Callithrix jacchus: one gene and its partners. The protein of the gene in region 2 purifies or fractionates together with the protein of the main gene of each other region. This does not show direct contact. Links are inferred from orthologs where the notes say so. Each region holds a gene or a part of one and is shown on either strand. Other genes may lie near its edges. The genes, in order: MIER1, CDYL and EHMT2.

What was found.
Region 1: the proteins of CDYL (region 2) and MIER1 purify together in Homo sapiens (co-immunoprecipitation; 3 studies listed by BioGRID and IntAct, counting the BioPlex papers as one, with this or other methods). This does not show direct contact. The link is inferred for Callithrix jacchus from reciprocal best matches to the Homo sapiens genes CDYL and MIER1.
Region 3: the proteins of CDYL (region 2) and EHMT2 purify together in Homo sapiens (affinity purification with mass spectrometry; 4 studies listed by BioGRID and IntAct, with this or other methods). This does not show direct contact. The link is inferred for Callithrix jacchus from reciprocal best matches to the Homo sapiens genes CDYL and EHMT2.

The regions. Positions count from the first base shown.
Region 1 is NC_133508.1:104,196,057-104,198,797, reverse strand, and holds the end of MIER1 (mesoderm induction early response protein 1), read right to left. Parts: intron 1,229-2,741; coding exon 900-1,228; 3' UTR 657-899; downstream 1-656. UniProt on the Homo sapiens protein: Transcriptional repressor regulating the expression of a number of genes including SP1 target genes. Probably functions through recruitment of HDAC1 a histone deacetylase involved in chromatin silencing.
Region 2 is NC_133505.1:25,590,580-25,594,236, forward strand, and holds part of CDYL (chromodomain Y-like protein), read right to left. Parts: intron 1,797-3,657; coding exon 1,130-1,796; intron 1-1,129.
Region 3 is NC_133505.1:39,399,053-39,402,709, forward strand, and holds part of EHMT2 (histone-lysine N-methyltransferase EHMT2), read right to left. Parts: intron 1,877-3,657; coding exon 1,792-1,876; intron 1,701-1,791; coding exon 1,660-1,700; intron 1,531-1,659; coding exon 1,375-1,530; intron 1-1,374. UniProt on the Homo sapiens protein: Histone methyltransferase that specifically mono- and dimethylates 'Lys-9' of histone H3 (H3K9me1 and H3K9me2, respectively) in euchromatin.

The DNA of each region.
Region 1 (2,741 bases), on a different chromosome or scaffold from region 2:
CTTGCCGTTAAGTAGAAATTTGAAAAACAAAAACAAAAACAAATTTTTATAATCTTTTATGAATGCTTTTACCACCTGGATAAGAAATATGACTTAATTACTACACAAACACTTAAAAAATCATTAGAAAAACCTTAGCAAAATAAAATGAAAGCTGACAGACTCAGAATAACAATTCCTCTCATAAAAGTTTACCAACTGTACAAGTTAAGAAAATTATACAAGCTTTTGTATTAAGAAAGGACAGCTCAGTCAAGACATATGTACTGTAAAAATCTTTCAAAGGCTACAAAGAATCTGGAAAAATACAGAATGTATTTCTTAAGCCCAGATAAGAATATGGAAAGACATCATTGATGTCAACAATTTTACATATACAAACCTGACCTGGTTTATTTTTAAACTTCTATATATAAAAAAATCATGCTAGCATAATTTTCAGGATTCATAAGGGTTTCCTTAATAATGATACTCAAACTGTATGGCAAGAAAAATGTCTGTTATAAAGACAAGACATTTCAAGAAACTCAGAGAAACTGGTGTTAAGCAGAAATTTGGACTTGAGTTTTTTCCCATTCCTCCATCAAACTAAGCAAAAATTACCTCGTAGTGAAATTTTATGATTAATACATCAAATGAGAAGGTGCAGATATATCTTTAGTTCACTCAAATTTACTAATTTTTAAAATATCCTTAAAAGAGTCTGACAGCTTTAAAGTAAAAAAAATCTGCAAAAGGCAGAATTATGAAACCTCATTTCCTAAAGTTAAGACTCAATTCAAATTTCCAAATTTTAACAAACTGCTTCAAGAAATTCAACTTTTTAAGGTAACCCATCAACCCTGAAAATTTTAGTCACACCAGAATTTACTCCAAAGAAAGTAAAATAGGTCTAAAATTTAGTCATCTGTGTTTTCAAGTTCTTCAAATTTCCCATGTGAGACTGCTTCTTGGAAAAATTCAGAAGAACCTGGACTTTCTTTTCCACTGCTGTTTACCCTTCGCCTTTTGGCAGGTCTCTCACTTTTTTCATCAAAATCGTTTTCATTTCTTGCAGTCATATGGGCAAGTTTTGGGTCAGTGGTAAGGTTATCTGTTTCATAACCATTAGTATCCATATCTCCATGAAGTGGTTTCTTATTTCCACCTGTTGGTCCATTAATGTGTAACCCTTCAACTTTTACTTCTTCTTTGTTTAATATTTCACCTGGTCCATTAGATGACACTCCTAAGTTGAAAGAAACATAAAATGAAACCACAATTACAAAAAAGCTAAATTTGCAAACTACTGTAAAACAGCTTACTGTAAAATTGCTATTGTTATCAAGTAAGCAAGGTATCAAATATATATATACAGTCTGAATTCTTGCTCTATTACTTATTAGTTATGTGACCTTAGGCAAATTATTTACTCTTTCTCTACCTCCATTTCATTACATATATACAATGAAGATCATAATAGAAATTCCACACAGGGTTGTTGTGAAAATTAAATAAGTTCATAAATGTAAAGAACTAAGAAGAGAATTTGGCATATATTAAAAGCATTTTAGGTATATGTGACAGCAAATAAGCACTGGATCCAGAAATCTAAATAAGCTGAATTAACAATGAAAAATGCAATAAATTACTCAGATTTAACAAAAGGTTTTCAACATTCTGAAACTATGTAAAAAGCAAAATGAATATCCTTTCTTATAAAAGCTTGAGTAAGCTACCATATAAAGGCAAGATATGATGACTTTATTCTTAATGTAAATCTCTGGGAACTGTGCTTTTAAAACATCACATACAACCAGGCATGGTGGCTCACGAGGTCAGGAGTTCAAGATCAGCCTGGCCAATATGGTGAAACCTCACCTCTACTAAAAATACAAAAATTAGCCGGGCGTGGTGGAACAGGCCTGTAGTCCCAGCTACTCAGGAGGCTGAGGCAGAAGAATTGCTTGAACCTGGGAGACGGAGGTTGCAGTAAGCCAAAATGGTAACACTGCACTCCAGCCTGGGCAACAGAGCAAGACTCCATTTCAAAAAAAAAAAGATCACACACTATTTACCTAAGTAGACTTAAATATATCTGTCATAATGTTAAAAAGCTAATGTTGCCCTATCCAAGCATATACTTGAAAGTGCTAAAAGTAAAACAAATTCTTCTACAATAGAGGAGAAAAGTAAAAGCAAAATTATTGTAATAAAACAGAAAAGTTCACTTTAGAGTTGACTGTAAAATGAATGGAAATTTTAGTGATACGAAGTAAAATATAGGATGCATCATCACTGAATAATTACAATTTAATTGCCTGAAAAATATTCAACATAAAGGATGAGCCTCAAATATTGTATTTTGATCAAACAAAATATTTTGATCAACTCAAAAATGCACTCAAATCATGAATGCACATGGGGATTATGCATCATAAGATATTGAAGAGAACAATTCTGTAGGATCAAGTCCAAAAAGCTAGCTGAGACTGTGATTAGGTCACAAATAATTGTAAGATTTCAAAGTACTAATTAAAATCCCATATAAAAAAGTACTATAATATTGGGATGGAAAGTTCCTTCCTTTCTTTGAAAAAGCTGGCAGTCTTGACTGTACATAATGTGAGTGGCTTTTGAGCTACGAGTAATTTATAGTAATTTAGGATAGTAACTTAGGAACACTATCCTAAAGAAGCATGTTCTCATCAAAGTTTTTTAAAAAGGAAAAGAAAATGATTTATTTAGTGTTAATATGTTAA
Region 2 (3,657 bases):
TCACGTGTTCCACCCACCTCAGCCTCCCAAAGCACTGAAATTATAGGGGTGAGCCACCGCACTGGCTAAAGAGACAATTTTAAGACTATAATGCAGAAGGAAGAGAGAGGAGAGGGCCACGTGGCAGGGGGCCCCTGAGCAGCTGGAGACAAAGGAAGTGTGCGGCCCTGGTGCTGACAGAAAGAGGGAGCCAGAGGGCAGGGGAGGGCTGGGTCACAGACATGCAGGGCACACCTGCTACTGAAGGCCAACTGGGGGTGGGGGTGCCAAGAGCACCACCCTTGTCTGAGAATGACTGAAAATGTATGGGAGCTGTAAGAAGGCAGGAAGCAGGAAGCTCTATTAGAAAGCTCCAGCAGGTGCGAAGTCATGAGGACTTCAAGTGAGGCAGGGCCAGGGCCTGGCTGGGAGAAATCTGTGTAAGAGAATTAACAACTGTGGCTGGCACAGCATGGCAAGTGCAAAGGAGCCACCTGTGTGAACTCCCAGTTGTGCTGTCCTGGGAGATGGACAGGTCATAGCACAACCAAGGCAGCTGCAGAACCCAGGAGCAGGGCTGGTGTGAGAGCAAAACCGAAGACACCACCTGTTCCAGGCAGACTCAGCTCTGATGGGAGAAACAATGGCAACCACACTGCCAATCATCCCATAAACGAGCCCAGCTCCTACAGGTCCCACTGGGTTAGCAATGCCTTCACTGAAAGGCATTCCTGCTAATTCAAATGGATGAGCAAAACAAGAACCAGCACTTCTGAATCAAGGCTGGCCGCACTTAGAAGAAAACGCTGCAAAGGAGAAGAGACTAGACTCACCACCTAAGAGGTGAAGAAAGGCAGACAGCTCCAGAAACGTGCTGTAAAGTTACCCACCTAACCTAGTTAGAGGGAGATATGTTTAAAGCAAGTCAGTGTGGTAGCAGTCTGTGGATGGCGCAACAGAATGAGACACCTAGTGCTGATTTAAGAGAAATGCCAAAGGCTTCAAGTGAAGAAAGGAGAAGCTGGCAACATCTCTGCAAGCCTCCAGCAGACGCTGTGGGAATCTCCATAGCTCAGGGCCTGATCTCTAGAGAAGGACCCACACCCTTTGGGATCGCCGCAGAGCTCCAGGCAGCTCCCCAGACACTCACCTTTCCCATTAACAGCTAAGCCTGTGGCCATGGCTGCAGTCACCGGGCCGGGCACCTGAGGCACTAGCGGGTGTATCCGGGGCCTGCTCCCCATCCTGGCCCGCTCAGCACCGGGGCCCAATAAAGCTCCGACTGGCTTTTCCGCTGCCACTTCAGGCGCCACCGTGTCCTCCTGACCCTGCTCGACGGGGTCCAGTTTCTCGGGGCTCTCACTCTGAAAGCCATCCACTGTGGTCCTGCTCTTAATGGGGCTCTTAGGCACGAGGATCTTGATACCTGACTTTGCTAGGTCCATGTTCTTCCGGCTGGAGAGAGATGGAGCTGTGTTCTTCCTGAACTTCTGGCTGGCAGCAAACAGCTGGCTGTTTTTGGATTCATGGTCTTTCCCAATCACAAGTGCCTTAGAAGAGGTCTTAGAAAAGTTGCTGTTGGTGGATCTGGAGATTTGTTTCCTAGCATTGTTGGGAGAGGTCCTGTTTGTTCTGGTCAACGTGCTCTCTTTCTGCTTCTCCGTGTGGCGTCTGTTGAAATCATGGATGTATTCCTCACAGTTGACGAGGTGCTGCTCCGGCTCCCAAGTGTCATCTTCGCTGTCATAGCCTTTCCACCGAACCAAATACTCTGTCTTCCCTTTTTTATTTTTCCTTTTGTCAACAATCCTTTCAACCTGTTTATAAAAGAAAAAAAATAGTTTAAAAAAATCAAAATTTTTTGAGAAAAGTACAAATGTAATTAAGAACATCAAAAATAGCAAAAACTATAATAGATTATAAAAATGATCTCTTCTCCAACCCCAATAAAATAGTAATAGGCCATTTGGGGTATGAGCAATTTCCCTGAAAGTAAGTCTAACAAGATGCTAAAATTTTATGCTGAGACGTGTGGCTATGCATTAGGTGACTTATGTTTTTGTGACTGAAAGGGGCTCTCTGTTATGTCTGTGTACAAGGCTGACCACTGAGTTGGTTTCCATACTCATGGCTAGAGCAGCCTGGGGCATCTGCAGCTGTGCCTGGTCATCCCCAGGGTACCAGCAGCAGGGACCCCAAGCAAGGCCTGGAGTGGTGACGGCAAAGAGCTACAAGAGTCTGAGAACCTTCTGTGGGTGAAACCGCCATCAAAGAAACATATGATCTGTATCAAAGCATCATTCAGAAGCACTCAATTAAAACCAAAAAGGTCAACAGAGAACATCATACTTGATTGTAATAAAACAGTCTAGAGCAATCAGGTTATTTTGAAATCTTAGTTTTAATTAATTTTACACTAACATCTTTCAGTGGAGATGCTGTCAATTGCTGAAATGGATGACCAATACATTCTGGATCAAAGTTATCAATTCACACCACCCTGCCTTGTAACCATGTTTTATCACTGTGACAAATTATTCTACCTTAACATCCTAAGTGTAAATGGAAGAGAGATCTTCCACAACTCACATGGACAAGAATTATCTGACACAGTGTCTCCATATGTTATTGGAGAAATACCTAGAATCTGTTGTTACATCAGAAGTTAATACAAAAGCATCAGCTCGCTTCCCGGCAGCAGCATGTGACTCTGTATCTTGTGGGCAGAGGCCTACAGCCACATAGCAGCTCTTTAATTAAGAACGCAAAGGTCTGAGCCCATCAATTATTAAGAACATCGGTACATTGATGTTAGAGGCAGAGGTAGGTCAGATACACAATGGCATGCCTGGTTCTCTAACATCCATCCCCCAATACTGGAGCCTAATGAGTAGAAGTGCAGGCAATTGTGGGCAACAGGAGAATACCCCATCCCCATCATTTACTCTCAAAGAAACAAAAAACTCTCCAGTGTATCTACCTCAGATACAGAAAATAGAAGCCCTTAACTACTGAACAGCCTAAAATTAAATATATATTATTGCTTCGGAGCAAAAAAGTATTAGGAACAGCAAGACCTTAGCTCATCATAGGGCCAATTTCATGTCTGACAGATCTCCACAGAGTCAGTAATTAATGTCAGGTCAGCAAGTGCAAGTCCACACAGTCCATATCATAGCAGGGAAGGCTTCTGAAAGTGATTTTTCCTCTGCTCCTTCACTTGTGAATAGTTGTGTATAAGGGTGTATTTCAATTTAAAAGACCTATTTCTGGAAAAGTCCATGTAAATGATGTTTTTGCAGAAACAGTTTAAGAGTTTTCAATAAAAAGAGGAGAAGAGATTATGTCTTACAGGAAAGCTATGTTTCATGTTCCCCCCTCCTCTGCCCAACCCACCTTAAATCCATTTCCACTCCAGAAGCGGGCAGTCTACTAGAGTATACTCCTGTTTGCTTTCCTCAGTTTCCTTAGAGCTGAGGCAGGAGCCTGGTGGAACACAGTGCATTTCTTTCCATTCCCTTCTTAACCATGTCCCACTGGATTCCCCAGGGCCAGCATCCCCTGGGGAATCTGCAGCTGCCAGGTCCCCAGGAGATTCTGCCCCTCCCTCCTAGGAAACTGAGCAAAGAGGAAGAGGAACAGTAGCCTCCACAGGTATGGGTAGGTGTGTGCTCCATT
Region 3 (3,657 bases), about 14 Mb from region 2:
TCACATCCACTGTCAAGTCTTCTTGGCACCTGAAGTGATTATGCTTCTAAATCTATTGGTTTACAAGAAATATCGGCAGAGAGAATGTGTCAATCTCCACCCAATCAGCTAACTCCTAAATATGAGAAATTCTGTAGGACAACTGACCTGGTTTCTTCAACGGATAAATGGCAAGACATATATATATATATATATATATATATATATATATATACACACACATATATATATATATATATATATATATACATACACATATATATTTGTTTGTTTGACAGAGTTTTGCTTGTTGCCCAGGCTGGAGTGCAATGGCACAACAGCTCACTGCAACCTCTGCCTCCTGGGTTCAAGTGATTCTCCTGCCTCAGCCTCCTGAGTAGCTGGGATTATAGGCACCTGCCACCATGCCCAGCTCATTTTTGTATTTTTAGTAGAAATGAGTTTTCACCGTGTTGGCCAGGCTGATCTCGAACCCCTGACCTCAGGTGATCCACCTGCCTCCCAAAGTGCTGGGATTATAGGCATGAGCTACTGTACTTGGCCTCCAAATTTTTTTTTAGAAGATGGGGAAACCTAAATACCAAGAGAGACCTAAAACAAGTGTTAATCAATTCAAGGTGTGGGCCTCATTTGGATCTTGACAAAAGCCCATTTATGAGACAGCTGAGGAAATGTGAAGACTGACAGGACATTTGATGGTATTAAGAACTCATTGGTAAGTTTTTTTTTGGTGTGAAAACAGTAGTGCAGTGATGTTGAACAACAAAAAGAGGCCTTATATTTACAGGTACATATGGAAATATGTCTAGGTAAAATGATACAAGGTCTGGAATTTGCTTTAAAATAACCCACTGGGTGTGTGTTGGGAGAGGCACAGATGGGTCAAGACGGGCTGGGTAATGATAATGGCTGGGGCTGTGTGATGGGTCCATGGGTGCTCCCTAGTCCACACTTTTGATTATACTTGCAAGTTTGCATGATAAAACGTTAAATTAAAAAAAGGCAAAACTAGAGAGACTGAACATTATACTGTATAGGCAAACATACAAGATAAAACCAAACAAAGAGCATGGGGATAAACAAATAAATGACAAGATTTTTTTGTTTTCCTTTTTAAATGGTGCATGCCTGTTAAATGGTAATTTCATTAGCTGAAAAAAAAAAAAAAAAAAAAGAATACTAAACCCAATGTGCAGGGGTGGCCGCCTTCGTGGATGGAATGGGCGGAGCATACATTGAAAATGAGTTACAGACAGCGTGGGGCAGTGACTTAGTGGGTGTTCAGAAGATAAAAAGGACAGAAAGGAGAAAAACAGGAAACAAGGAGGACTGGCTAGTGAGCCCCAGCCCCGGGGAAACACAGCTCTGCCTCACCTTGCTGTCAGAGTCCATGCGCTCATCCACAGAGTAAGAATCATAGTAGAGACTGAAGTCATCACCCACCACTGTCTCCCACTCCTCCAGGGACCCGGGGTCCCCTTTTGCCAGGGTCACTTCTCCTGAACGCCGGGCAGAACCTAACTCTTCCGACTAGAAAGATTAGAAAAATTGAGGTCACTGACACCTTGCCCATTTCTCTTGAGGACAGGATGCAGCCCTACTCCTGAGCCTCCCTCGGAGCAGCCCCCCAGAGGGATAGGCCCTGGCTCTGCTGCTCACCAGGCTGCCTCCTGAGTTCAGCTTCCTCCTTTTGGCCACATCTGGAAGAGGAGAGAGAATGGTGTGGGGCCTATAATTGAAACCTTCAGAACAGGCCACATCAAGCCACAGTGGGCAGGGGATGGGACTGACCTGAGGTCACCTTTCCCAGTGAGTGGACGTCATCGCTCATGCGGAAATGCTGTACTTCAGGGGGCCGCTTCTCAGGGACTGGGGGCTGTGGGCCAAGAGGGAGCACACGGAGGGTCAGAGAGCACCTACGGTTAGCCTGGAGCCTAGGCAGGGGTGGGTGAGTAAGCTGCACTTCCAAATGCCATCTCCCCAGAGGAAGAGTGTCAAGCACACTCACACTCGCTTATCTCTGCAACCATGCAGAGCAGGCCCTTTTCCATTTTACAGGTGAGAAAACAAAACTCAACCAAGTTAAAGGCCTTTTATAGGAGGCCATGTACGCAGCAGAACTATTCACAACAGCTGAAGTGCAGAAGCAACACAAGTGCCACTGACAGATGAATGGATAAGCAAAATGTGGCATTTATATACAATTACATATGTGTATAGCATTCAGCCATAAAAAGGAAAGATTATACTTTTTTTTAAGAGACAGAAGAGATCTTGCCATGTTGCCCAGGCTGGTCTTGAACTCCTGGTGTCAAGGGATCCTCCCCAGAAAGTGCAGGATTACAGGAGTCAGTCACTGGGTTTAGCCTTTTAAACATTTTTTTTTCTTGAGACAGAATTTTGCTTGTCACCCAGGCGGGAGTGCAATGGCACAATCTTGGCTCACTGCAACCTCCACCTCCCAGGTTCAAGTGATTCCCCTGCCTCAGCCTCCTGAGTAGTTGGGACCACAGGCGTGTGCCACCACGCCTGGATAATTTTGTATTTTAGTAGAGACAGGGTTTCACAGTGTTGGCCAGGATTGTCTTGATCTCCCGACCTTGTGATCTGCCCACCTTGGCCTCCCAAAGTGCTGGGATTTCAGGAGTGAGCCACCGAGACTGGCCTTAACCATTCTTTTTCTTTTTTTGAGACGGAGTCTTGCTGTGTCGCCCAGGCTAGAGTGCAGTGGAGGGATCTCGGCTAACTGAAACCTCCGCCTCCCGGGTTCAAGTGATTTTCCTGCCTCACCACTCCCCCACCCCCGTAGCTGCGATTACGGTGCCTGCCACTGCACCTGGATAATTTTGGTATTTTTAGTAGAGATAGGGTTTCACCATGTTGGCCAGGCTCGTCTCGAACTCCTGACCTCGTGATCCACCTGCCTCAGACTCCCAAAGTGCTGGGATTACAGGTGTGAGCCACTGTGCCAGCCTTAAACTTTTTTTTAAACTTCTTTTAGAGATGGGGTCTCGCTATGTTGTCCAGGTGAAAGGAAAGAAATTCTAACATGCTACAGTATAGATAAACCTTGAGGACATTATGCTAAGTGAAATAAGCAAGTCACAAAAACATAAATGCTGTATGATTGCCAGGTGCGGTGTTTCCTGACCTCAGGTGATCCTCCTGCTTCAGCCTCCCAAAGAGCTGGGATTACAGGGGTGAGCCACTGTGCCCGGCTAAAAATGTTTTTTAGATGGTAAATTTTATGTGACACTAGTTCCCTCTTATCCAGTTTTTCAGAAGTGATGTAGTGTATTGTTAGAAATGTGCTATTTTTTTTTTTTTGAGTCTCTCTCTGTTGCCCAGGCTGGAGTAGTATGATCTTGGCTCACTGCAATCTCCGCCTCTCGGGTTCAAGAGATTCTCACGAGATTACAGGTGCACACCACCAAACCCGGCTAATTTTCTATTTTTTGTTTTTAGTAGAGATGGGGTTGACCAGGCTCTTCTCTGAACTCCTGACCTCAGGTGATCGCTGGCTTCCGCCTCTGAAAGTGTTGAGATTACAGGCAAGCCACGCCTGGCCTATTGTTATGATTATGCTAGTTTATCATTATTGTTGTTAATCTCTCACTCTAACTCATTTATAAATTTTTCTCTATTATTTACAAAATG